3 linked regions of the Caenorhabditis elegans genome follow. The protein of the gene in region 1 interacts with the protein of each later gene in a pairwise test. Each region holds a gene or a part of one and is shown in the gene's direction. Other genes may lie near its edges.

Region 1 (8,069 bases):
TATAAACATCAAAATATTTTAAGCATTTTAATAGTTGACTATTTTTTATTATCTCCAATTTTCATCGAGATCGAGAGCTTCAAAAATAGTACTTTTTTGGATTAAATACCCAAGCGATTCTGGCAAGATTTTATTTTGAATTCGGAATTTTTTTGTGTCAGCTTTCAGGGAATATATCCTTCGACCTATAACTCTCTGGACACCAAACAAAACTCCCTAGTTATTTATTAATCCTTAAAATGTGAAGAATTTAAAAATTCTCATGTTTGACTGGAATATAAAGACCTAAAGCACCTATGATTTTTTAGAAAACTGTAATGGCTATAAAACCTATCAAAAGGTATACAGTATACATGAATTGATATACTTTTCAATATTAAAAATATCATACATTGTACTAGTTAGTCAAATTGGGGAATTCCAAAAATTCCCAGGGAAATGATTGTGCCTAAAAAGATATTGCCAAACTCGAGAATTTTCCAAAAAAAAAGTATATTCTACCATGGAAAGCTATTTAAAAGACCCCAATTAAGGTATAACACTGCGAAATTTCAAGCGCCACAGCCTTGCTCTCAACCCCTTAAATTTTGAACTGAGCTTATTATTATTTTCGAGGCTTGTACAATTGGATTTTTGAAGGCGTGTAATAATTTTATAACTATTTGAACTTTCTGGAAACTATGTATTTTTGACTCAAAAAATACTGTGCATTTCAAAAGTCAATTAAAAATCTCTTTAGAATAATTAAAACCGGCAAAAACAACGCTTTTACAGGCCTCAATTGTGATGGAAAATTCACTGAAAACATTATACGTTTTTTTTTCCGGAAATGACAAAGAATCGATATTTGGATATATTCCAGTGTCTCAAAACCATGTGCACCACTGACTGACCTAGCTATATATTTTACAACCGTATAGAGTCCCCGTGTATACTAATGGGTATACAGTTGATTGTAAACATGTGGAGAGATGTTGATGTTGTTCTGAATATCTTTGTCTTGTTTTACGATTTTTTTGGTTGATTTCTTATATATTTTTCCTGCTATAAATTCTAAAATGTGCGTTTTAATTTATGCCTACGTGCCTGCCTACCACCTATCTTCTGCAATTTGGAGTTTCGACTGTGGAGATACGTTTGAATTGGTTTTTTTCGCATTTCAATGTAAAAAAAGTCTCTAGGCAGATTTACGGCTGTAGGCGCTTTAGTAGGTGAGCGTAGGTTTGCAAAAAACGTAGGTCAATAGGCATGCATATTCCTTCAGGCAGGCGCAAAGGCCCTCAGGTATGCATAGGCTTGTAGACAGGCCTGAGTCTATAGGAAAGTGTAGGTCTGCAGGCATTCGGTCTCTAAGTTTGCGTAGATCTTGAGGCAGTTGCAGGTTTGTAGGCACTTGTAAAGGTAAGTAAGTAGGCGTAGGTCTGTTGGCAGGCTTCGGCTTAGATAAGCAGGTTCAGGACTGTATGATGGGGTAGGTCAGTTCGAGTTGTGGGCAGGAGTAGGTTTGTAGGCTTATAGACATTAGGCCTATAAGCATGCGTAAATCCGCAGGCACGTGCAGGTATGTAGGCAGGCGTAGGCCCGTAGGCAAGTGTAGGTCTGCAGGCATGAATGTAGGCATGGGTGTTTGGAAGACCTGCGAAAATTATTTTGGAATTCACGAAAATATGGTAACTTGCTAAGTTTCGACGTAGCTACTTTTACGTTTTTTTTTTTTTTTTTTTTTCATTTTTTTGTATACTTTTTCGGTATACTTTTTCCGTATCTTTCTCTCTTTTACCTACTCTCTTCTTTTACCAAATTTCCCTGACATGCTCTTCTAATAGAGGTGACCCCTAACTTCCCAATCAATAGGTACCAAGTATACCAGTTCCGCCTACTTACCTGACAGCCTACTGCTCCGCCCAGTGGATATAGATGGTTCGGTGGCTGGAATATTAAAGTAGTCATTCTTGTTTTTTGTTGTGGTCCTGGTAGATCAAATTTAGCTTTTTTGCTAAATATTCATTATATTTTTTTACTTTTCTAAACATTTCAATGTCTAAAGTAGAATTTTTTTTCTTTTTTTTCAAACATTTTTCAAAATTTATTATATTTTTTTAAATTATAAAAACAAAAACCTATTGTTTTTACAAGAAAACATTTATTTACCGAGTTTTCCAATTGTAACGTCCAAAATCATGGTTCCGGGTCTCGACACGACAAATATTTTTTTTGTTGGAATTTTCACCCTAGTTCTTTCGATTAAAAAATACATGTACTAAGTACAAAAACTCATAAATTTTACCGAAAATAAAAATTACAGTAGTCTTTAAAAGCACACACCTTTTTGAATTTGACAAAAAAATTCATGTCGAGATCGGGCGTAAATTGCAAAATTTCGCGTAAAATGATTTTTTTTTTCAGAATTTTCGAAAAAAAAAATCGGAATTTTTTTTTCAAATTTTCAGAAATTGAGCCAACCTGGAACTTTTATTTTTTTCAAAAAATTATTTTAATCTGGAATACTCTTAATTTTTCTCCAAATCTAATGTCAAATAAACAGGCCCCTTTCCTCCGCACATCTCCACTTTTTGACTGCCACGTCACCGATTTGACCTACCATTTTCCCGCTTTTTATGGGCCCTCTTGTCTTCTATTCCTCCTTCCGCAAAAAAGAGTGTAGACTAACTATAAGATTGTTTCTAACTTAATTTTCGTTTTTTTTTTGACGTTTTGGCCTTATTTAAATATTTTATATATATATATATATATATTTATTTTCAGAACTTATCCCCAAAGATGAATTATCAAAACGAACAAAACGCCTATCAAATGCAGAATCAGGAAAATGTTCCACCGATGAGTTACGGGTACCCAATGCCAACTCCGGAGCAATTCCAAAAAATGAGTTACGGGCAGAACTTCCAAGCTCCATGGGATATGCAGCAGCAGATTCAGATGTTTCAGCAATATCGTAAGTTTAATTTTTTTTTTGAAATCATGGTGCATCGAAAAAAAAATTTGTTTTGTAAATTTCGGGCAAAATAGTAACTTTATAATAGCAATATATTAGTAACAGGTTCAAATTTTAAAAAAATTTCAGACCAAAATTTCCAAGGAGGATATTCGGACCCATTCACCTACCAGAATCAGTATGCACATCAGCCAAAAATTGTGACGGTCACTTTGCAGGACCCACAGGACCTCTGGAAGGAGCTTCATTATTTGAGTAATGAGCAGAATGTGCTTAATAATGGGAGGTTAGTATTTTTCGTGAAAAATATTATTTAGTTTCAAAATTTTTGAAATTTTCTGAATCTGATGTACAAAATTTTTTTAAATTGCTCAATTTTTTTTGCCTGAAAATTTCGTCTGAAAAAAATGAGCAAAATTTTCGGCAAAAATTTTTTTTTGGAAAATTTTTGAAATTTTAAAAATGTAAAAAAGGATTTAAAAAAATATTTTTTCATAATTTTTAAATTTTTACAATTCTCCAAAGAAACATATTATTTGCTTATATTTTCCGAAAATCTTAAAGTCAAAAACAAACGTTCAAAAAAGTAAACCAACATTTGTTTTTATTAAAAAACAATTTTCGGAAAATTTTAATCTAAAAATTTAGTCAAAAAAGGGCGAAATTTTCTGCAAAATTTTTTTGTCCTAAGAATTTCAATGTTTACTTATTTTTTTAGGGATCAAATTTCATAAAAAATTTAAAAATTCATCTGAAAATTTTCCGCCAAAATTTTATTTTTCGGGAAAAAAATCTTAAATGTAATAGTTTCTCTGAAAAAAAATCGAAAATTAATTTTTTAACTTTGAAAATTTTCTCTTGTTTCTAAAGTTATATCGGATAATTTTGTCTGAACAAATTTGCAAAATTTTCAGCCAAAATTTTATTTATTTTTTTTTTTTAAATTTTATTTAAAACCAATTTTTTCCAGAAAAATCTTCCCAGCCCTCAACTACAAAGTCGAGCATCTCAATCCAGAATCCAACTACAAAGTGGAAATTTTGCTCCGCCGAATGGTCCCCTATCAGATTCAATATTCAAATGGAAGCTGGTCCCGGAAGAATGTACAGAGCAAGAAGACTATTGCAATGAAAACAGAAAAAGTATTTGTTGGAGAGTTCACTGGACAAGATATCATGCGTACCGGCTTGGATTTATCAGATGTGAAGGTGTTTAATATTGGAAGTGATAATAAGAAGAAAGTGACTCCATATGAAGAGATGAGTGACGCAGAGAAACGAGAGTATGATACTCAGTATTCGAAGAAGAAGACCTCCATGGTAGGTACTGCCAAAATGTGGGCGGGCGTAATCTTAAGCCGAAGCCTGATTCAAAGCCTAACCCGAACCCTAAGCCTAGGCCTAAGCCAAAGCCAAAGCCTAAGCCTAACCCTAAGCCTAACCCTAAGCCTAAACCTATACCTAATCCTAAACCTAAGCGTGAGCCAAAGCTTTATCCTAAGCCTAACCCTAAGCCTAAACCTATGCCTAATCCTAACCCTAAGAATAACCTAAATCATTAACAACTAATAATTCAAATTTTTTGCAGCTCGAGGTATCAAATGAGTGCAAGTACATCCCGGTACTCATCATCAACGAGATTCTACCAAATCAAGAGCTTCGATTGGTTGGGGAATTTGAGAACGAGATTACCCAATTTGCGACAGTTTCTTCATACAAGGTAAGACTATAAGGCTATAAGGCTTGATAAAAAATTAGAAGAGTTAGTAATTAAAATTGGCTATGAGAAAAAAATTTCTTTCAAAAAAATTCGAAAAAAATCGATAAAAAATTATTTTCAAAAAATCCCAAAATTTTGCCAACTTATATCTTTGTTTGTTTACAAGATAAAAACAAATGCTCAATTACAAAGTTATAGAAAAATACATGATAAGCATTTTGCTAGTTGACAATTTTTTGATACAGCTCAAAATTATTGAGATATAAGATGATGAATTTGAGCTATAAAATCGTCATAAAAAAATAATTGAAAAATGTTACAAATTGAAACATTGTTGCTACTTTATTTTTGAATTTCTTTCTAACAATGGAACAAATTCAGCGTTTGCTAAATTTATTTAGAATTTCAAACAAATTCAAAAAAAAAACCGCTGAAAATATTTAAAAAAAAAACGAACAAAATTAAAAAAAAAATCGCCAAGTTCCTAGTTTTCAATATTTTTTGAAAAATAAAAATCTTTAAATTTGGAAAATTTAAATTTACAATATTTTTCGGTTATTGCCGTATATTCAAAAAATTCACAAATTTTATACTTACTAATTTCTACAATTTTCTCGCTTTTTTGTATTGCCGAAAAAAGTCAATTTTAAAAATTTTCGGAATTTCTTTCGTTTTCCTTAATATTTTTTGGACTGTTTTTTTTCTAAAAAATGGATACAAAAATTCCACAAAATTTTAGAAAGATTCACAATTTTTTATTTAAAATTTTTTTTTACAATTTCTTTAAAAAAAAACAAATTTCCAATAACTTCCGGTCATTTTTATAATCAACAAATTTTCTACAGTTTCCATATTTTTTGTCGATAAAAAATTCGATAATTAGTCTTTTAAAACTTCTTTTTTTTTTAAAGATTTAACCAAAAAAATTCTGATTTTCATCATGATCAAGGCTGGGACCAAAAAATAATTTTACACCAAAAAAAAAACAAAACATTGAAATTTTCGAAAAAGCAAAAAAAAAAAAATTATGCTTCAATTTATTTTAAATCCTATCTATAATTTGTATAATTTTCCAGAACCACATCGTAAAAGCCTTGCGCACAGCCGCCAACCCAACTTCTCGCGGAGACGCCAAACAGGAAGCCGTTCAGGTCGGAAAGCAATGGAGATCATCCAACAAGTCCTTGCTGGAATCCCTCAGACCATCTATGATTTGCACCAGTGTCTCCACAACTGCTCCAAGCACCAATTTCCATGCTCCACTGCAGTACCCCGGCACCTCATCCCCATCCAGCAACTTTGCTCCAATGACACCTTCCACGTCATTCGACTCGGCGTACAGTTCCTTCAACGTGACGTCATCAACTCCAGAACAAATGTGCTACAATCCGATTCCTTCAATGTCAACTGACTACTCATTTTGCTCATTCGACTCTGCGACATCATCACCGCCACTTCAGCCAACAGCCACGTCACCAGAGGCTTCTCAAAATCAGATTAAACTTGAAATGAACCAATACATGTAATTATTAATTATTATCTCACTATTAACTTTTTCCTTCAAAAACGTTGTCAAAAAAGCAACTTGTCGATTTCTATGTTGAATAACCGTTTTCTTTCCGCTTTTTTCTTATTTCAGTGTTTTTATCTAGCCAACTTCAATAATTTCATCGTCCCGTGTTGCTTTTTTTTTTAAAATAAACTTCATTTTTGAATAGATTTTTGGATTTAAATTGATTTTAAAAATTAAATTAGAATTTAATTAAAACTTTGGGGATGTCTAATTAAAAGTATAAAATTTCTAAAAATTTTAATTGGAAACTCTAAATTAAAAAAAAAACTTTCAATATTCAAGTTTTGAAAGTAATAAAATCAAAATTTTTTTAAAATTTTGGCGGGAAATTCAAATTTTCTGAAAAGAGATTTGGCGGGAGATTCAAATTTTCTGAAAAAATTTTTTTGGAGGAAAATTCTAATTTTTTTTAGAACACGTGGTGCCAGGCTGTCCCATTACGGTTTGATCTACAAAATGCGGGAAGTTTTTGATCAAAAAATTGTGACGTCAACAAGCTCTTAACCATGCGAAATCAGTTGGGATGTCTGCGTCTCTTATCCCGCATTTTTTGTAGATCTACGTAGATCAAGCCGAAATGAGATACTCTGACACCACGTGTTAGAAAACATTTTGGCGGAAAATTACAATTTTCTAAGAAAACAATTTTTTGCGGGAAATTCAAAAACTTGGCCACCGATATATATATTTGTTTAATTCGGCCACCTCACTATCCTAACAGACACGATTATTTAAAAAAAGGAGGCCATGGCGTAACCCCATATCAATCGGTGTTAATTTGATTAATGTAATCTGATAGCATTCCCCTTTTTATTTCCATTTCTCTCATCTTCCTTTTCTAGAAGGTCAACATTTAATTTGTCACTCTTCTTTTTTTAGTACTCTTTAGTACGTGGTTTTAAAAATTTTGGAAGCAAAAATTTAAACAAATGTTTTTGTGCAGAATTTAAAGCATAGATTTGGGCAAGTTTAAAAAAAATCAAGAAAATTGAGTGAAAAATTTTTTTGAAATAACAAAAAAAAATTCTAAAAAAAATTTTTTGAAATTTTTTTTCAAAGACTTTTTGAAAGCTTTTCCCATGAAGTTTTAAAAATTTTATTCTAGAATTTTAAATTTCTTTTTTTTATTTTAATTTCTTTTTTTCTAAATTCTACATATTTTTTGCGTTGCGCCTTTTATCGGAGTCGTAAATCAAAATTTCAAAGGAGACAGGGGGTGGGAAACGGGAATTTGTTTAGATTTTATCTCAAATTAAATAGTCTCGACATTACGATATAATGAGGCAAGTGTAGACGTTTTTAGTGACAACCACGGGTTTCTGTTTTTTTTTGGAAATTTGGTTCTCGCCACGAAGTCCGGGGTACTGTAGGTTTTCGTGGCGGGACCAAACATGGAGCAAATCTAGTAATTATTATACTTGAATTAAAGCTCTTGACAAGTAGATTTAACATTCCGAGATGCGATTTTGATTTGGAAAAAGATTATCTAATTTTTTCTAGGATTCCCTGAATAATAATTTACGAATATTTCGAAAAAACCTACCGTAACCGAAACTTTGCAATTGAAATTTTTGACTCACAAAAAAATAAAAAATGTTTAAACAACTTTTTTTTGTGAAAATCAAAGTCAAATTGTCACGAGCTTTAATATGCATATAATCATGGCTAGGTTCCGTTCATTTTGGGTCCCACCACGATTACTCCCTACAGTACCCTGAAAATTCGTGGTGGGACCCATATTGCTTCAAACCTAGTCATGATTATACTTATTTTAAAGCTCTAGGCAAGCTGAATCCAGATTTTATTAAAACAAGCATGTTC
Region 2 (7,120 bases), on another chromosome or scaffold:
TTATTTATGTATTTGTTGTCAATTTTTGTTTGAAAAAAAAATGTTTCGACTCCCTGATAAAACCAATAACAGCACAAAAGATATTCTTGTTCATTCATTCCTGTTTCATTCATTCCAGAATTGCTTAAATTTTATTTTCAGATCATAACCTTTTAGATTTTTGAAAACTAATGATCCAACGTTTTTAAATTATTTCAAATTTTCAAAATTCAAAACATTTTGTAGCTATATATTAGACGTAAAACAAAAACTGCACATGTTCTTTTAACAAAACAAATTCCCTTAGAACAACACTATTTATTAACGTTCCCAACTAAAAACTAAAAAAAAACAAAATCAAATATTCAAGGAATTTTCTCGGAAGGTTTGTTTTCCTCATAATAATCGCAGCATCCATCTGAATCCAGATCTCTTTCATATTTCTCGCAAAGTTTCTGGAACATGTCATTGAAGTCTTTTTCAACACGTTCCAAATGTTTATTAGTTTGTTTCCGACTGAACCGATGAGAAAATTCTCCCTCTGCAACCAACGTGACCTGAAAATATGAGTTGAAATTTTCGATGATACAAAGTGATTCAACAAACCGATTCACCGACGTAAAAGTCGTTCATATGACGTAATGCGAAGCAGAATAAAAGACACAGAATTACAACGAGCCAAACGTCGGAGTTGTCACGAGATGCTTCGTTTTCTCTGGAACAGATTCAAAAATTTATTTATTCGAAAACAATTATGAACATATTGGTTCAAAAGAACATTGACGAAAAGTTAAATGTATAAATGTATTACATTTTATGTAATGAATTACCTAGGGGAGTGCTGCTCATCTTGAGCGTTAGCCAGTGTAATTGAAAGGATTATTATAATAAGCAGGCAGGTGAGACAATTGCACAATTTTCTCATTTCAAATCAACTACCGAGGATATGTGGACAATGCTGAGCTTTCGCCATTTTGACATTTCCGCAAATAGTCTCTGACTGTTTATTTGTTGAAGAAAATAACTGATAGGCAACTGAAGTTAAGCTGTTAATTTTTATAGGCTATAATAAATAGAACTTCGAAAGATGGAATACAAACTTTCAAAAATATGCGGTAAAGCACTTTTTTTAATTGATAAAGTAATTGGTAAACTTAAAAAAACTTACTTCAGGGTTGTCAATATTGGCTGAAGAATATTAACTTTCAATCAGAAAGATGTAAACAGAAGTTGACAAATATTTTGAAATGCAAAATTTATTTATAACAATTTTTACAGTACTCAAAACGAAATTGCAATAAAAAAATAATTTTAAACTAGCTTATTTGATTCCACACCTTAGATGCCCTTCTTGTCAGTGTGCTAAATTTTTTTTGATTACTGCCAGAAGTCTCCCAACAGTTTCGAAGTATTTTTAAAATTTGACATTTTTGTAGATTTAAATCAAAAAATAAATATGATTTTCCAAGTTGTCGTCACTATCTTGTTGGCATTTAGTGAAATAAAACTACCGACAAAAAATATGTTCACGTAAAAATATATAAAAAATCAGAATAACTGATATGTTCAAAAACGTTGGTATTAAAGTTTATTGTGCAAAGTTGTAGTCTATGAAATGTTTGGTGATGTCAAGTTTCGGGAAAAAAACCACCTCCGATTGTTAAGTCTAATAATTTCTAATCAATCAATGTGTAAAATTTAGAAATAATTTATTTCAGAAACTTCATGATTGGCAGATGACGTTGTTACCTTCACTGAGCCCCTTATTCCTACGGTAGGTGCTCGCCACGCCTCTTCACACATCTTCTGCGATTGTTTTCGAGTTATCACCAATTTGACTCCTACACTATTTTCCGCTGTATTGAATAACAAAATATCAGTTTCCATCCCAATCAATACTAAAACTGTGTATCCAGTTTGGTCAGCTTCCGGTCAGTTTTGAACATTCTGTCTTTATTGTCCGCTACCGTCCCCGCTCGTACAACATTTTGTGTTTGTCCACAAATTATTGTGATTGCTCTTGTTGTTGTGCGCCCGTGTAAATGCCAATTTTTGTCTGTGTGACTATAAGAATTGAAGTATACGTACTGCAAAATGGCATCCTGGATTGTAACCAAATAGGGAGGAAGATACAAGAAAATGTATCGAAATATTACATTTTTCTTCCGAGATCATATAAATCGACACATTCATGGTTCGAACAAGTTTATATTCGTTCATCTCTTTCTAGGTTGATGTTAGATTTTCTGCTAGAAATTCTTAAACTACCAAGTGTTAGAAGACTTGTGTGGTTAATACAAACTTTATAGACTCATCCCAACCTTAATTCCAAAAAGCCTAATCGTAAAGTAATGGCTCAGAATTTTTTGATTTTGTAAACTCAAATTCTGAGTCGTCCCTTCTTCTATCCAACTTTTGATCATGAAAAATTATTATGATCTGTTATGATTATACCTGTACCGCGCACAAAATCAGCTTACTAACAGTGTTAAAATGCTCCACAAAACATTTTTAGCATTAAACAGAAAACCTGATTTAGTTATTAAGTATACATTTCATCACCGTTAACAGTAATATTTAAGACGATTTATTATTAAAACAGCAAAGGAAATGAAGGTTACCTTATAAAACTAAACATTCTCATTTTTGTTTTAAAATCAAAGCGTTTTTTTCATAACCTTCTTTGAATTCTTTGTGTTTTTTCAATTCTCAAAAAATCTTTATCATTTTTCTGAAAACTAAACCAAACGAATTAAAAAATTTTACTCACATGTTAAAACCATTTGTATCTTCGACTACAAATTTTGGCCATTTTGTTTGTCACAAAAATCCGTTTCTGATTGAGCTACGGTAGATACAATTTGCATAATCTAACAGATTCTCGGCGTTTTGAGATATCGGGAACCAGTTAGATCTTTAAAACGATATCTATTTTGGAATGCACTTTTGAGATTTGGATACAAAAGTTCATTCTGATCAAATTGACACTGGAGGTCTTGTTAAATTATTTCAATAACACTGACATCTTCTGGTTTTACTCTTTCTTTTGAAAACGGCATAACAACATTTTTTTACAATATATTACAGCTATTTCCTTTCAAAAATGATAGTACCGGACACTGAGGGATTGTTAATTTATTCGTATGGACTGATGTACGGTTCATATTGTATGGCATGTCAAATGTTGATTCCACACTTTCAATGCATACCCGGCATTTTTCCAAACTTTAGAATTTCAACTGAACTCATCAAGACTATGACGGATAAATTGGAGCAACCGAACAACAACGTTCCTCAACAGCCATGGGGCCCTTTTCCTCCTGCATTCGGTGGCCGGCCAAGTGGTGAACAGACTGATGGAAATCCAGGAGAGTTTGATAATGATGCTGCACATCAACAAACGGCTCCGTTCATGACTCATTTCTTTCCAAGAATCGGTGAGATGTTTGTCAGAACAAAACTAGGGCTGTGATTCGTTTTTTATTGATTTCCATTTAAGTCAAAAAATTTCAAGAATTCGTAATTGTATGGCTGAAATTTTTTGTAAGTGGGATCGATCAGTACATTATCACTCAGTTTACATATAATTTGAAAAAAAAAACGAAAAGTAATTGCTAAAAGTACTCACCAATTTGCCGAAAAATCTCTACCAACTTTAGCAATGCCCATTCCAAAATTGAGCAACTTTAGCAATGCCCACTGCAAACTTTAGAAAAGTTGAGTAAAGTTGGTTAAAGTAGGAGATGATTTAAAAGATACTACAATTGGGAGAAAAGCTGCGAGATAGTATGGTTCGTTATAAAGCTGCTAGTGTTTCTTGAGAAAATGCGGCAAATGGTCGGTCATTTGAAATACTTCAAACTAGAGCTGCAATCTCTGTCATATTTTAAGTTTGGGAAAATTAATAAATACTTACCCAGCTCAGGATAAAAGTTTCTGGATATATATCTTTTCTTTATTTTCTGATCTTCATTTTTTGAATTTCAGGACTTCAATTCCCAGACTTTACCGAGTACCAGCGTTTTAATGGCTTCCAACGAAACGCATTCTTCCCTAATCCATTCGGATCTCAGTTCACAGGCCAAGCATTTGCACAGTCGTTCCCATTGCACAATTCAATGACTACCATGGATGGTTTCAATTTGACACATGCTCCTCACCCGTTTTCAACAAATACAAACTCTACAAAACCTAAGGACATTGAAAACACGGTTCAAAGTACAATCAAACACAGTTCGGAAAACATCCAGGATAAGCCACCAGTGTTGTCTGTGGAATACCCTGTTAAATACGATTCTGAACTGAAATTTGACGCAAATGTAGATTTCACAGCAGTTCCTAAACAGGAGTCTTCAGACGATTCAACTCTAAAAAATCTCAAAAAATCAGACCAACAGCTACAACAACCGCAACAATTTACATTTCCACCTCCATTATTAGCGGAGAAATCATTTGAGCAGCCCAGGTAGATCGACTTTTAAAGACAGTTGTAAAATATCAACTGATAAGTTTAGAATGCGAGAAGACGTTTTACCTTTTCATCCACAATTCTATCCGGCACCACTTGACATGGGCACAAACTTCAAGCAAGAAATGAGAACTGTAATCTCTTCACAATTAACAAAATCTAAACACCAAAAATTTCAGCCACCAATCGACGGGCACATTGATTACAGAAAATTTGATGCTAGCGGAAAGAGAATGGAGTTTCAGCCACCGGGTGCTTTGCATGACTGTCAAGTGTGTTTGTCAACTCATGCTAACGGGCTTCACTTTGGAGCCCGTACATGCGCCGCATGTGCTGCGTTTTTCAGGTAAGAAAGCTCATAATGCAAGTGTATTTAGATGGCCTTTTGCTGTTTGAGACTTGAGAACTCTAGAAAACGTCTCAAAAAAAAACATTTTACGGTTTTTTAAAATATTAGATAAGCTTAGCTGAAATCTTTGATTTAAAAACTTTGCGTGTCGCAGCGATTGAAGGTTAATTTTAATTGTTTTGTAGTTAAATGAACAGAATTGAAACAAAAATCAATTTGTCAAGCGCGTCAAAAATTTTTGTAATATTCGCAGCTTTAAGGATTACTTTTTTCTGACTTTAAACCATCTTATAACTTTTTTCAAAGTATCATATTAAAACAATTATCGCTACTACATTTTTGATGATGATTTGTTTTGATGTTTTGAATGCTTGTAAATGTTAAAACACACTGTTTAATTTTATTTCGTTGTCAATGCTTCAGTTCAAACCAGTATGACTCAATAAAGCCTGTGTGCTACACAGAAAACTGTTAAGTTAAAAAACCCCATCATAAAATTTCAGAAGAACTATCAGCGATGACAAACGATATGTCTGTAAGAGGAACCAACGGTGCAATAATGCAAGCCGCGATGGAACTGGGTATCGGAAGATTTGTCGGAGTTGTCGAATGAAACGATGTCTGGAAATTGGAATGCTTCCAGAAAGTTGGTTTTTTTTTGTCAAATCATAATGCTCACCAAATTTATGTCAGATGTGCAGCACAAGCGAAATCGTCGAGATTCTGGATCCCCGCCTCGTAAAACTCCATTTGACACTTTCTTCAACGGATTTTACCCCTCATTCCAACCTTCTGGATCAGCAGCTCAACCGATCACTGTATCCTCAAGTGAATCACCTCGTCACACAACTAATTGAGCGTGATAATTGTTTATCTTCCGATCTCAAAGCATAAGTTCCAGTTCTATTATTACCGATACTCACAATGTGATTCAATAAAAAATAATTTACTTCGATCTGGAAAGGGCTAAGGCAGTTCTTTCATAAAACGTATTGAAACAGTAAAAACGGTCCCCAGTATGTAAAAGAAACATCGATCTGATCAGTCATACTATTTTTCTAATCAATAGTTTTTTTTTCAATTAGATAGTGTTTTAATAGTAAGTTTTTCTAAAGTCAGGAAAATAAATATCAAATAATTATCTGATTTTTTAAATGTAAAATTGGAATAACGAGGCAAATATTTTGAAAACATTTTTTTTGTTTTCTGTGTAGAACAAGTTTTGTTTTAAATGATATCATATAACCAATTTCATTTAACAGTAATTAACTAATTTAAAGATATTAGGCGTCGTGGTTACAATTACTGCTTTTTGGTTATAATTCTTTTATGAACATTTGCACATACTGTTTAATTTAATTTTCATTGCAACTTGGCTAACGGAGAATGCTATTATCTTCTTACTTTTGTAATAATTATTTTGTACAACATGTGTAGTTGAAATTTTGAAGGAACACAGCAACCAATGACAGTATTGAATAAGAAACTCGTACTCAATTTGAAAGATACTTTTCTATATTTGCTTTATTGCGCGCTGTGATGCAATTTATACGGAAAAACCTGTCTATATGTTGACTTGCGATAGTTTTCCCTGTCGTTGATGACAATCGCAAAGACCTAAATTCCGTGGAATGTTCTACCGGGAATCTCAACATCCAATTGACACCTGTTGTCATCTGGGGGTATAGCTCAGTGGTAGAGCGCTCCCTTAGCATGGGAGAGGGCTGGGGTTCAATTCCCCATACCTCCATAAGTTTTTTGCATTATTAATCGAGTTCATTTACATAAAGGCAAACATCTATAGCAGCACTCTAGCACTCTGGTAGAATGGTGTTATTGGAAGTTAAATGAAACTAAATATAATAATAATAATTGTTAGACTCAGATTTTTTTTCTTAATAATTGTTAGACTCAGATTTTAATGTAAAGTGTTATTCCAACATAAGTGGTTAAGACTAATTTCAAAGTTTTACCCATTTTTCAATTGCAATTTATTCAACAAAAAATAGACTTTTAGGTAGATCTGTCTGAGGAATGCTCAATAAATTTGAATCATGGGGATCAATAGTTGCAAGGAGATCCGAGACTGAAAGTAAGACTGGTGTAAATTTAACAAAAAATCAATAAAGAAATGCTTGGGATGAGCGAAATTTTGTTCTATGATATTATAATTTCAATAAATTATAACTTAATTTAAATGGGCGAAAAATGATAAGGCTTTTGGGAGAAGAACTGGGGTTGAAAGTGATAAATAAATAAATAAATATAAAACAAAAATTATGAATTGCCTATGGAGCTTTGGACCGTTTAGAGCTCGATCCAGC
Region 3 (8,685 bases), 5.6 Mb from region 1:
CATAAAATCAAAATTTCTGGAAAAATATATTAAAATTGGATGCACTTTTGTGCTCTTTTCCATTAATTTAACCCATTCTTTTATTTATTAGTTATCGCCTTCTGTCGTGTGTATGTGTGTGTCCAAAACCCTTGCCTCTCTTTCTCTTTCAACCCAAAATGCGTCCATAAAATGTTTGAATGAATTAATGAAATGGGGAGTCGTTTACTACGCTGCGTCTCCTTTAAATCACTTGATCTCTCATTTTCTCTTATATATTTCCAAATCATAAGAAATTTTGAAATATATAGAAATTGAATGACAGAGAGAGAGAGAGAGTAAGAGTAAGAGCAGATGTTTGGCAGTCAGACAACGGGGGGACCGAGGCCCACATTAAAATTGAATGAAAAATTTCGAAAAAGAAAATTTTTATTTTGCATTCACGAGTGGTAGGGGAAAAAGAGGAAACAGCGATTAAATATATAAACATTGAAAACTTTTGGGCGGGGTTTAGTGGAGCAAGTGGGAAAGCTTATGAAGATGTTTGAATTCAGAATGTGAATTTGAACGTTTGGCCTAGAAAAACCAAAACTTCGGCCAGCGATATTTTTTCTTATGTAGGCCAGGATCAGAGCATCCTTTTTTGCTACATGATATAAAAACCTAAACTTCGGGAACTAATTAATTTTTTTCAGCAAACCTTATCTACAGTTTTCTGGATGCAAGATCTTTATTTTTAAAAGAGCTGCCGAGTTCTAGTATTTCTAGACCACTACGTGTGGCAACATTCTTTCTCTTCCTATTTTTAGCTCTATATACCCCGGTTGACTTGATAGGCGAATTTAATTGAGAATTATAAATTTTCCATTTTCCAAAAAGTAAAATTCCAAATTCAAATGTTCTTTCTCCCACTCCAATATTGTAACATACAATAAAATTTAATCCTATCTCTCTTTCCTCTGTGCTTTCCATAACCTCTCTTCCATTTTGCCCGTTGGTGGCAGGCGATGGGCGGGTTTGACATCGTCCTTTAAGAATAATAAAATGTGTCATTTGGTGCCCTCTTTATCTCTATTTCTCTATTCCTCTCTAACTCTCGTTTACAAAACGCCACCTGCTCTCTCTTTCTCTTCATTTGACCCCTCTACTCCCAACACCCAAACAGACACCATCCTTTGTTCCGTTTTTTTTGGTTTTTTGATGGTGGACAGTGGTGATGGACATTTCGTTTTACTCCATGTTTTATTTTATTCTAATGTGCTATGTGTGCAACCAACATCTGCCTTCCACCGGTATAATGAGATTTTGACTAGGGAAGGGTCAACTCATGGTCACGTTGGCGACTCTTTTGGGACTTTTGAGTGAACATTTCTAAATTGTAGATTTTTCGCTATGGCCAGTTGTCAACCCTAAAAATTGGGATTTTCATGGTTTTTAAGGTACTGTTTTTTTCATGCAATATTTCAAATTCAATTATCTACAAACAAAAATATTTTCTGGAAAATATTCAACTGAAAAGCCAGCTGATATTTTCCAGCATTTTGTCAGTTGATAACTTTTTTCTAGCATCACAAAGTTATGATAATTTAAAGACTCTCCACACTTCCAACAGAGGTAGCAAAGAAACGAAAAGCTCTCGCTCAATAGGGTGCTGAGAAGCTAGACTCTGCACTCTCTTTGCAATTCCAGTTAGGAAATTTATAACTAACTAAAAATTGGCAAAAAATATTTTAATATTCTGAATTTATAACGAACTTTTGGCTTCTGGGGTAGTCACTTTGAAAGCTACATTTTGACGCGCCTTTTTTAAACGCCTTTTCGAAAATTTTATTTCAAAATTCGTTTAGTCTTCAGAATACAATATGATTCTGACATTTTTGGCAGAAAATTACATTTTTCACACTCCGTGGGAGGTCTATAAATTCGTTTTATGTTAATCGTGGCCAGTTAAAATTTTCAGCGCGTGCGCCTTGAAACTTTATTTTTCAAAAAAAAAACTTTTCCCCCCGATTACGCCTTCCCCAATTCTCGCCTATTTTGTTACACAAATTTAATTAAAATTTTTTCTAAAATTTTCATTATTTTCTCTTTCCCTCTCTCTTTTTCTGCAAAACCCACCTAGAAAACAATTTATGTGAAATTAAATTGTTATTTACTGCGCAACCGGAAAAATAAAATAAAATTTAAAAATTTGTAAAATGCGAAATCAGCAATTCAAGTATCTCTCTCCCTCTCTTTCTGGTGTCCTCGTCATCCACTACCAGCCACAAAAATAAAAAAAGAATTTCGCATTTTTTATGTGATTCAGAGAAGTGTCTCCCGTATTCGAGTACTATTTTCGAGTTTTGCAATACATCTTATCAAAAATATATGTTTTGGGGTGAAACGGGAAAATAGAAAGAGAGGGACAAGTGAGAGAGCAGAATTTAATATTTTTGATGACTTTTTCAAACAAATTTTTTTTGTTGAAAACTTTTTCCCTCACTTTTTCACATTTCTTATCATTCTTCTTCGCTTTCTCGAAATTTAATTTCATTTTTTAAACGCATTATCAATATGTTATACTTAATATTTCAGATCAACTCAGATGATGCTCCAACCGCCAACTTTAACGCCGAATGCGAATGGTGAAGAGTTCAGAGGATCCGTCAGTACAGATCGTAGTTCAGCTTCTCCTTCCAACATTGACGTGAGTTTGGATTTTCATCGTTTTGATGTGAAAAAAGAACACTATAAAAAATTACAAGACATATAAAAAAATTTTACTGTATGTCTTTTTTCAAACTTGTTCCCATGTCTTACATATTTAAAAACTATACATTAAGCTTGGAGAGAGGTTCAAAATTTTTGAATGTCTGAAAACCTACATGGGCGACCTCTAAAATTTCTAGACTTTAACAACAAAAAAATTGTGTTCTAAAAAAATTTCGCAGTTTCAAAGATGTAACGCAAATACATATATTACACATTTCTCAATCTTTTCTCTTGTTTTCGCACTCGTTTTGCCCGCCTCCCTCATTCATTTTCACAATTTCTCTCTCGTTTATTTTTTGCCTCAAACATCTCAAGATGATTTTTTATTTATTTCGAAGAAACTCGCAATTTCATTTTTTTCAACATTTTTGCCTCGCTCGTTAAATGTAAGAGAAATAGACATATTTTTCGATATGTATTGAAAAAATTGAGGTGAGAGTGAGAGCGATGAAAATGTGCTAATTCAGAAGGCAAACAACTTTTTTTTTCGATATAAAATTTATGAAACATTTTTTTTCGTTTTCCATATTTAGAAGTGCTTTTGGAAAAGGTTTAGTTTTGCCTTTATGCTCACTTTGAAATAAAATTTGCCGCTGTGGGACTCTGTGGGACTCGGAACCACACATATTTTGTTTTCCCGCTCTTTCTCTCCCTTTTTTCTGTTTAACAAAACCTTTTCAAAATAAAAAAAAGAGCACAATTTTCTTTTGGTTTTTTTTTGCGTTGTCCCCACAAGAATTTTATTATTTTATTATCTACACATTACACGATAGAAAATAAAACGTAGCGAAAATATTATCAGTTATCGGAATCGTTAAAATTATTGAAAAATTATAGATGAAAAAAATTCTTCTTCTTTTTCTTTGATAATGATAGGAATTAACAGAAAATTTCAATTTAATGATGATTGTTAGATGCTCGCGGAGCACACGACAATTCCGTAAAAGTGCGCGAACAAACAAACAGACTGTTTTTTTTGTTGAAAAAGCGAACTTTTCCTCCTCCCCTTCTTTCAATTTGTGCTCTCAAATCATTCATTTTTCCTACAAACATAAAAAACCCAATTTCTTTCGATTTTCCGTATTTTTTATGGCGCTCTTCTAAAACCGCACTATTTCTTTTCCATTTTTTTTCAATCAAATATTTATATATTTTTTTATTTATTTTGAGAAGGAAAACGGACAGGGGGGAAGGCGAGGTGGTGGTTGAGCCAGCAGCCCGCTCCCTCTCCTGTCACAGCAGCACCCAGCCACCACATACATACAACCCTCAATTTGAGTGAATTTGTGACCAATTTTCTAAATTTATTTGGTATTTGTTAGGTTGCTGCACGAATTGCTCGAATATAAATATATCTGATACATGAGTTTTTGCAATTCTTATTGATCAAGCTTAAGCTCTTCTCTAATTCTGAAATATTTGTAGGAGATCATGGAAGACGATGTGAATCAGAAGGACGAGGATGAAGATCTGAACTTAGTGGATCGTGTCAGCAAGCTCGAGACAAATTTTGTATTCATTCAGCATCAGGTGAGTGAAAAACTATTAATAAATTATTTTATTTTCTAAATCGAGAATGAAAGAAGTAGAAAAATATATTTGCACAACAATTTCGACAAGTGCAATGTGTAATGCAACAAGTCATAGGTGTCTAGTATTTATTTTGAAAATTTCCAAAAAAAAACTCGACTAGACACAACAATAGGCTTACCGTCCGTCACACATACTATTTTTTTCGATTTTTCACCCGTGGAATTCATTTTCATTTTCATTCACAAAGTTTACATTTGACCATCTCTCTTTCCCTCTGTCGCCCTGTCTCGGGGCTCACGCATCGTATACATACCGGACAGAGGAAGCAGATTGAAGAAGAAGAAGTGAAGACAGCGATCGTCAAATAGTGTGTTTTGTGGGAGGAAATAGTAGAATGATCCAAAAATAAATTAAATGTCAACATTTATTGACGCGGAAAAATGGAAAAAAAATATAATTTTATCGTGGTGTTATGAAATTTAAAATATACATGGACCCATTGAACTGTATGTTTCCAGCTATCCTCTATCATGAACCATCTTCATGCTCCACAATGCAAGTGTACAACATGCTCCAAAGTCAACCAACCTGGAGCTGAAGAGCAGAAGAATGATACATCAGTGCTCTCGCAGCTATTCCCTAATGCTTCTGATCAGCAACTCAAGACTCTCCTCGATCTCTCGAAAATGAACAAGTTGCCATCACAAGTTGTTCACAAGGATCAACAGAACGGATCATCTTTTCTACCATCAGCAAATAAGACCTCTGAAAATCCAAAACCTATTGAACTGAAGCCTCTGAAGCTTGGACAAGGCTATCAGATGGCGAATGGTGGAGGTGGAGGCAAGATTCATACCGAAAGACTCTCAGAACCAGCGAGAAAGCAGAGCCGGAAAGTTGGATTCCCACCACCAGTTGCTTCATATTATCAGAGAAAGGAGAGCTCGAATCGTAAGTTCACTATACAACCACAGCGCAATCTAGAAACTCTAATTTTCAGCTTTGGTCCCGCCAACTCCATTGTCGTCCATCCCAAATCTGATTACAAATTCCAATGCAGTATCAGCCAACACTTCAACAGCTTCACCAGGACCCTCCTCGGAAGGAAGTGGTGATGATCATCTTGAGGCTCCAAATGAGGTGGCTCACATGCATTCTAGTACCGTACCAGCTACACCAACAACTCCAGGAGCCAACTTGTTCACTCAATGTAAGTAGATCCGCATGTTTTTTCTTAAATTTTTGCCAATTTCAATTATGCTAAAGGGAAGGAAATCTAACTTTAAGTAATTAGAGCAGTACTTGAATTATATTTTTTATCAATGCAAAACAAATTAATTTTTAATTTTTCAGCTATGGTCGATATGCTCAAACTGAATGCACAAAACGCTGCTCACTCGACAGGTTCTCCTGGATTCTTACGTGGACGTGGTCGCGGACGTCCAAAGCTTATCGGAGATGAACTTGATGCTGATCTCGTTGACTACATGGTTTCCCTGAAGAACTCAGATCCACATGGTGGCCACTTCACCGCATCTCAGGCCCTGCATATGGCTCGTCAATACATACTCGAAAGAGCTCCAGGCCTTCTCGAAGAGCATGGAGGTCATGTAAAGCTGAAGCTCACCTGGGCGATGAAGTTGGTGTCGAGAATTGGGGAACGACAGCGGGAAATCGAGCTAGGACTTCCAGCCGGAACACTGTCGAATATGGGACGAAACTTGACAAATATACCGGCTGGTGGCAATTTTATGGCTGATATGATGGCTCAGAACATCTTTTCGCAGCATATGATGATGGTGAATCAACAATTGGAAGGTGGATCTCCACCAGCATCTTCTTCATCAACTGCCACGACATCGACAGCCACGAAGACAGTGAAGCAAGAGTCGAAAAATGGACATCAGAATGAGGAAAATTTAAATGTGAAACAAGAAGGTGAGTTGTCACGGGTTCTAGTCCAACTTCACTTGAACCTTCTCTAAAATTATAATTTTCAGCCTCCACGATGCCCGAAATAATAAATATCAAAGAGCTCAATCTTCCATTCCTCAACAACTTCCTTGCCGAACTAAACGACAACAACTCGGGACTGATTGACGGTGAAATTGGTGCAGCAGGTCCATCCATGGCTGCTCTTTTTGCTCCGAACGCATAATTTTTAAAAACATTTTTTTGTTTTATTTTCTTGTTGTAACATTTTACTACTGAACCTCCATTCATCTCAAAACAGACCACCCGATTTTATGGGTATTTTTCGATATATTCTTATTGTCAATTACTTCTACTTTTTCCCTGTCATCACCTCTTCCTATATGTATCATTTTCTACACATAGGCATCACTTTCAACATGTTTTATACTTGCTTTTTTTTTTGATTTTCCAATTTTCCAATTTTCCGGCATCAACATTCACAAAACAAAATATGTTAACAAAATTCAAATTAACAGTATTCAAATAAATTATACAATCAAATATTTCCTTTTCAAGTATTATTATAGGAACGGATGAGAAGTGCCACGTAGGCAATTATGCGAATTCCGATGAACATTCCAAACAGAATTGAAATATCAAAAATTTTATGCGAAGCCGAGAAATCGATCTGTAATTTTAAACCATAAAAGCTTGAACAATGAAAGTTCCACCTCGTTGTGAAAAACTTCTTTTGAGCATTATTCGATGTTCAGAAAATAAACACCAAAAAGTCTACGATTTAGTTTGGTTAAGTAATCCAACACTGAGAAACAGATTTTTTAAATGTTCCTAAATTAATTTCTAATAATCCAAAACACTAACCGATTCCAAAACTTGATGCCCATTTTTTGGGCAGCTATCCAACGCAAACGCAGTCATTGAACTATTGAAACACTCCGGAATCACTTTGATCGAATCCCATTCATTGATCGCGAGAGCTTCATAACCGTATCTAAAAGATTTGTTATTATATAACACAAATCATCATGTTTACTTGAAATAAGAGAGCGAAGAGAGCCATTTAAAGTAAGATGGAATGGCGTCAAATGTTATGAAGAATCCTCCAAACGCCATAATTGGAACTACAAAGATTGGAAGTATTGTCATGGCTACATCAGTGTTGGCAAAGATCGTTGCGACAGCGTAAGCTGAAAAGAAAAGAATGAAGCAGCTGTCATCTCACAGGTCAAACTGAGCACAGCTTACAAATGGAAATTGCCACGTTTGTAATCAAAATTGTTACCAGCGACGCGAAGCAATAGTTCCAGAAGTTAGGATAGAGCCCAGACATCCAGTAGACAATTGTATTGTATAGAATTGGAAGGATTATGTATTGAGGGAGTTCTGCAATGTTTTTCGCAAGAAAATATGCACTCGTTCGATACACTCCATTTGCATTTTCTCGGAGTACAATTGGAAGTTCTGCCGTAATAACCTGAAGATTAATTCAAATTCTGAAATTAATTGGCTGCCTGGTACCGGAACATTTGGGAATTGAAGCATAAAGTTCATATTTCGAATGTGGTTGAACATTATTCCATTTATCGATATTATCGTAGCAGGTGTGACTGGAGTTTGGAAGAATACTATACCAGTTATAAATGCAGTTATCTATACAACAATATAAATAGTAATAAAGCAGTGACACACTTACAAGAATTTGAAGTAACCTGACAGAAAGCAGATTTGGATCCCGGATTACTGTCAGCCAAGATCTCCAAAAAAGAGCAAGAAATTGTGTCCAAAATGATGCATTGTAGCTGAAATTAAAAATTTCCGAAGTAATACTATTGAAGTAATACTATTGTTAAAGCATTTCTCCTATCTGTGATGTTTAAGCACCAAACAATGGAGTTCAAATCAAGATTCAAAAATGTGATAGGCAGGCAGGTAGGTGTAAATGATAGGCAGGCAGGTAGGTGTAATACTTTTGATGTCAAATTTTTCCAACTCACTCTTGATTAAAAAACGTTTTTGTTTTCTCAGATGTATCACTTCCTGTTACAAATGACGCTGCTCGAAGTTTGTTCGCATTTCCAATTGCTAACACCGACTGGCCCAAGTCCGTAGACAAAAATCCTTGGCGAATTTTCTTAAAACAATTTTATTGAGTTGTATATCTTTTTGATTCTCACCGAAATAGTTTTCATGGAAGTTGCTCGATCACTATCAATTACGGCCAGAGTCCTTATCAGATGATCCGCAGGATTATAGTATGCCGGGCATGGATATCCACATTTTTCAAATAACGGCACCGCTTGATCACCTGGCCCCAAGTATATGACACGCCCACAAGCCATGAGACAGACACTGGAAGATTTATGAGTTTTGGAAGAAAATATTGCAAAAGATACTTGTTGAAAAGAGAGTAGACATGACTGCTGGGTTGATGAATTGTGATAATAACTGTCATTCCATTATCCGCCAAACTTCTGAGAGCTTGAA

What was found.
Region 2: the proteins of tbx-33 (region 1) and odr-7 interact in a two-hybrid assay, tested with the Caenorhabditis elegans proteins (one large-scale study listed by BioGRID).
Region 3: the proteins of tbx-33 (region 1) and attf-4 interact in a two-hybrid assay, tested with the Caenorhabditis elegans proteins (one large-scale study listed by BioGRID).

Annotation. Positions count from the first base shown.
Region 1 is NC_003281.10:11,631,538-11,639,606, reverse strand, and holds tbx-33 (Putative T-box protein 33), read left to right. Parts: upstream 1-2,766; 5' UTR 2,767-2,781; coding exon 2,782-2,956; intron 2,957-3,085; coding exon 3,086-3,242; intron 3,243-3,926; coding exon 3,927-4,275; intron 4,276-4,543; coding exon 4,544-4,675; intron 4,676-5,751; coding exon 5,752-6,201; 3' UTR 6,202-6,391; downstream 6,392-8,069.
Region 2 is NC_003284.9:12,457,602-12,464,721, reverse strand, and holds odr-7 (Nuclear hormone receptor family member odr-7), read left to right. Parts: upstream 1-3,064; 5' UTR 3,065-3,082; coding exon 3,083-3,416; intron 3,417-3,966; coding exon 3,967-4,444; intron 4,445-4,493; coding exon 4,494-4,581; intron 4,582-4,626; coding exon 4,627-4,793; intron 4,794-5,299; coding exon 5,300-5,442; intron 5,443-5,489; coding exon 5,490-5,653; 3' UTR 5,654-5,743; downstream 5,744-7,120. Other genes in the region: T18D3.5 (uncharacterized protein), read right to left, coding at 345-536, 586-694, 810-904; T18D3.1 (WD repeat-containing protein 89), read right to left, coding at 7,085-7,120. UniProt on the Caenorhabditis elegans protein: Required for the function of one pair of chemosensory neurons called AWA neurons that are involved in chemotaxis to volatile odorants. Acts in a pathway that specifies olfactory neuronal fate.
Region 3 is NC_003281.10:6,078,007-6,086,691, forward strand, and holds attf-4 (AT hook-containing protein attf-4), read left to right. Parts: upstream 1-2,556; 5' UTR 2,557-2,569; coding exon 2,570-2,668; intron 2,669-4,158; coding exon 4,159-4,263; intron 4,264-4,784; coding exon 4,785-5,217; intron 5,218-5,266; coding exon 5,267-5,476; intron 5,477-5,619; coding exon 5,620-6,204; intron 6,205-6,266; coding exon 6,267-6,424; 3' UTR 6,425-6,742; downstream 6,743-8,685. Other genes in the region: ABC transporter ATP-binding protein/permease wht-1, read right to left, coding at 6,752-6,868, 7,063-7,192, 7,235-7,388, 7,447-7,675, 7,720-7,851, 7,895-8,000, 8,196-8,332, 8,376-8,550 and 1 more.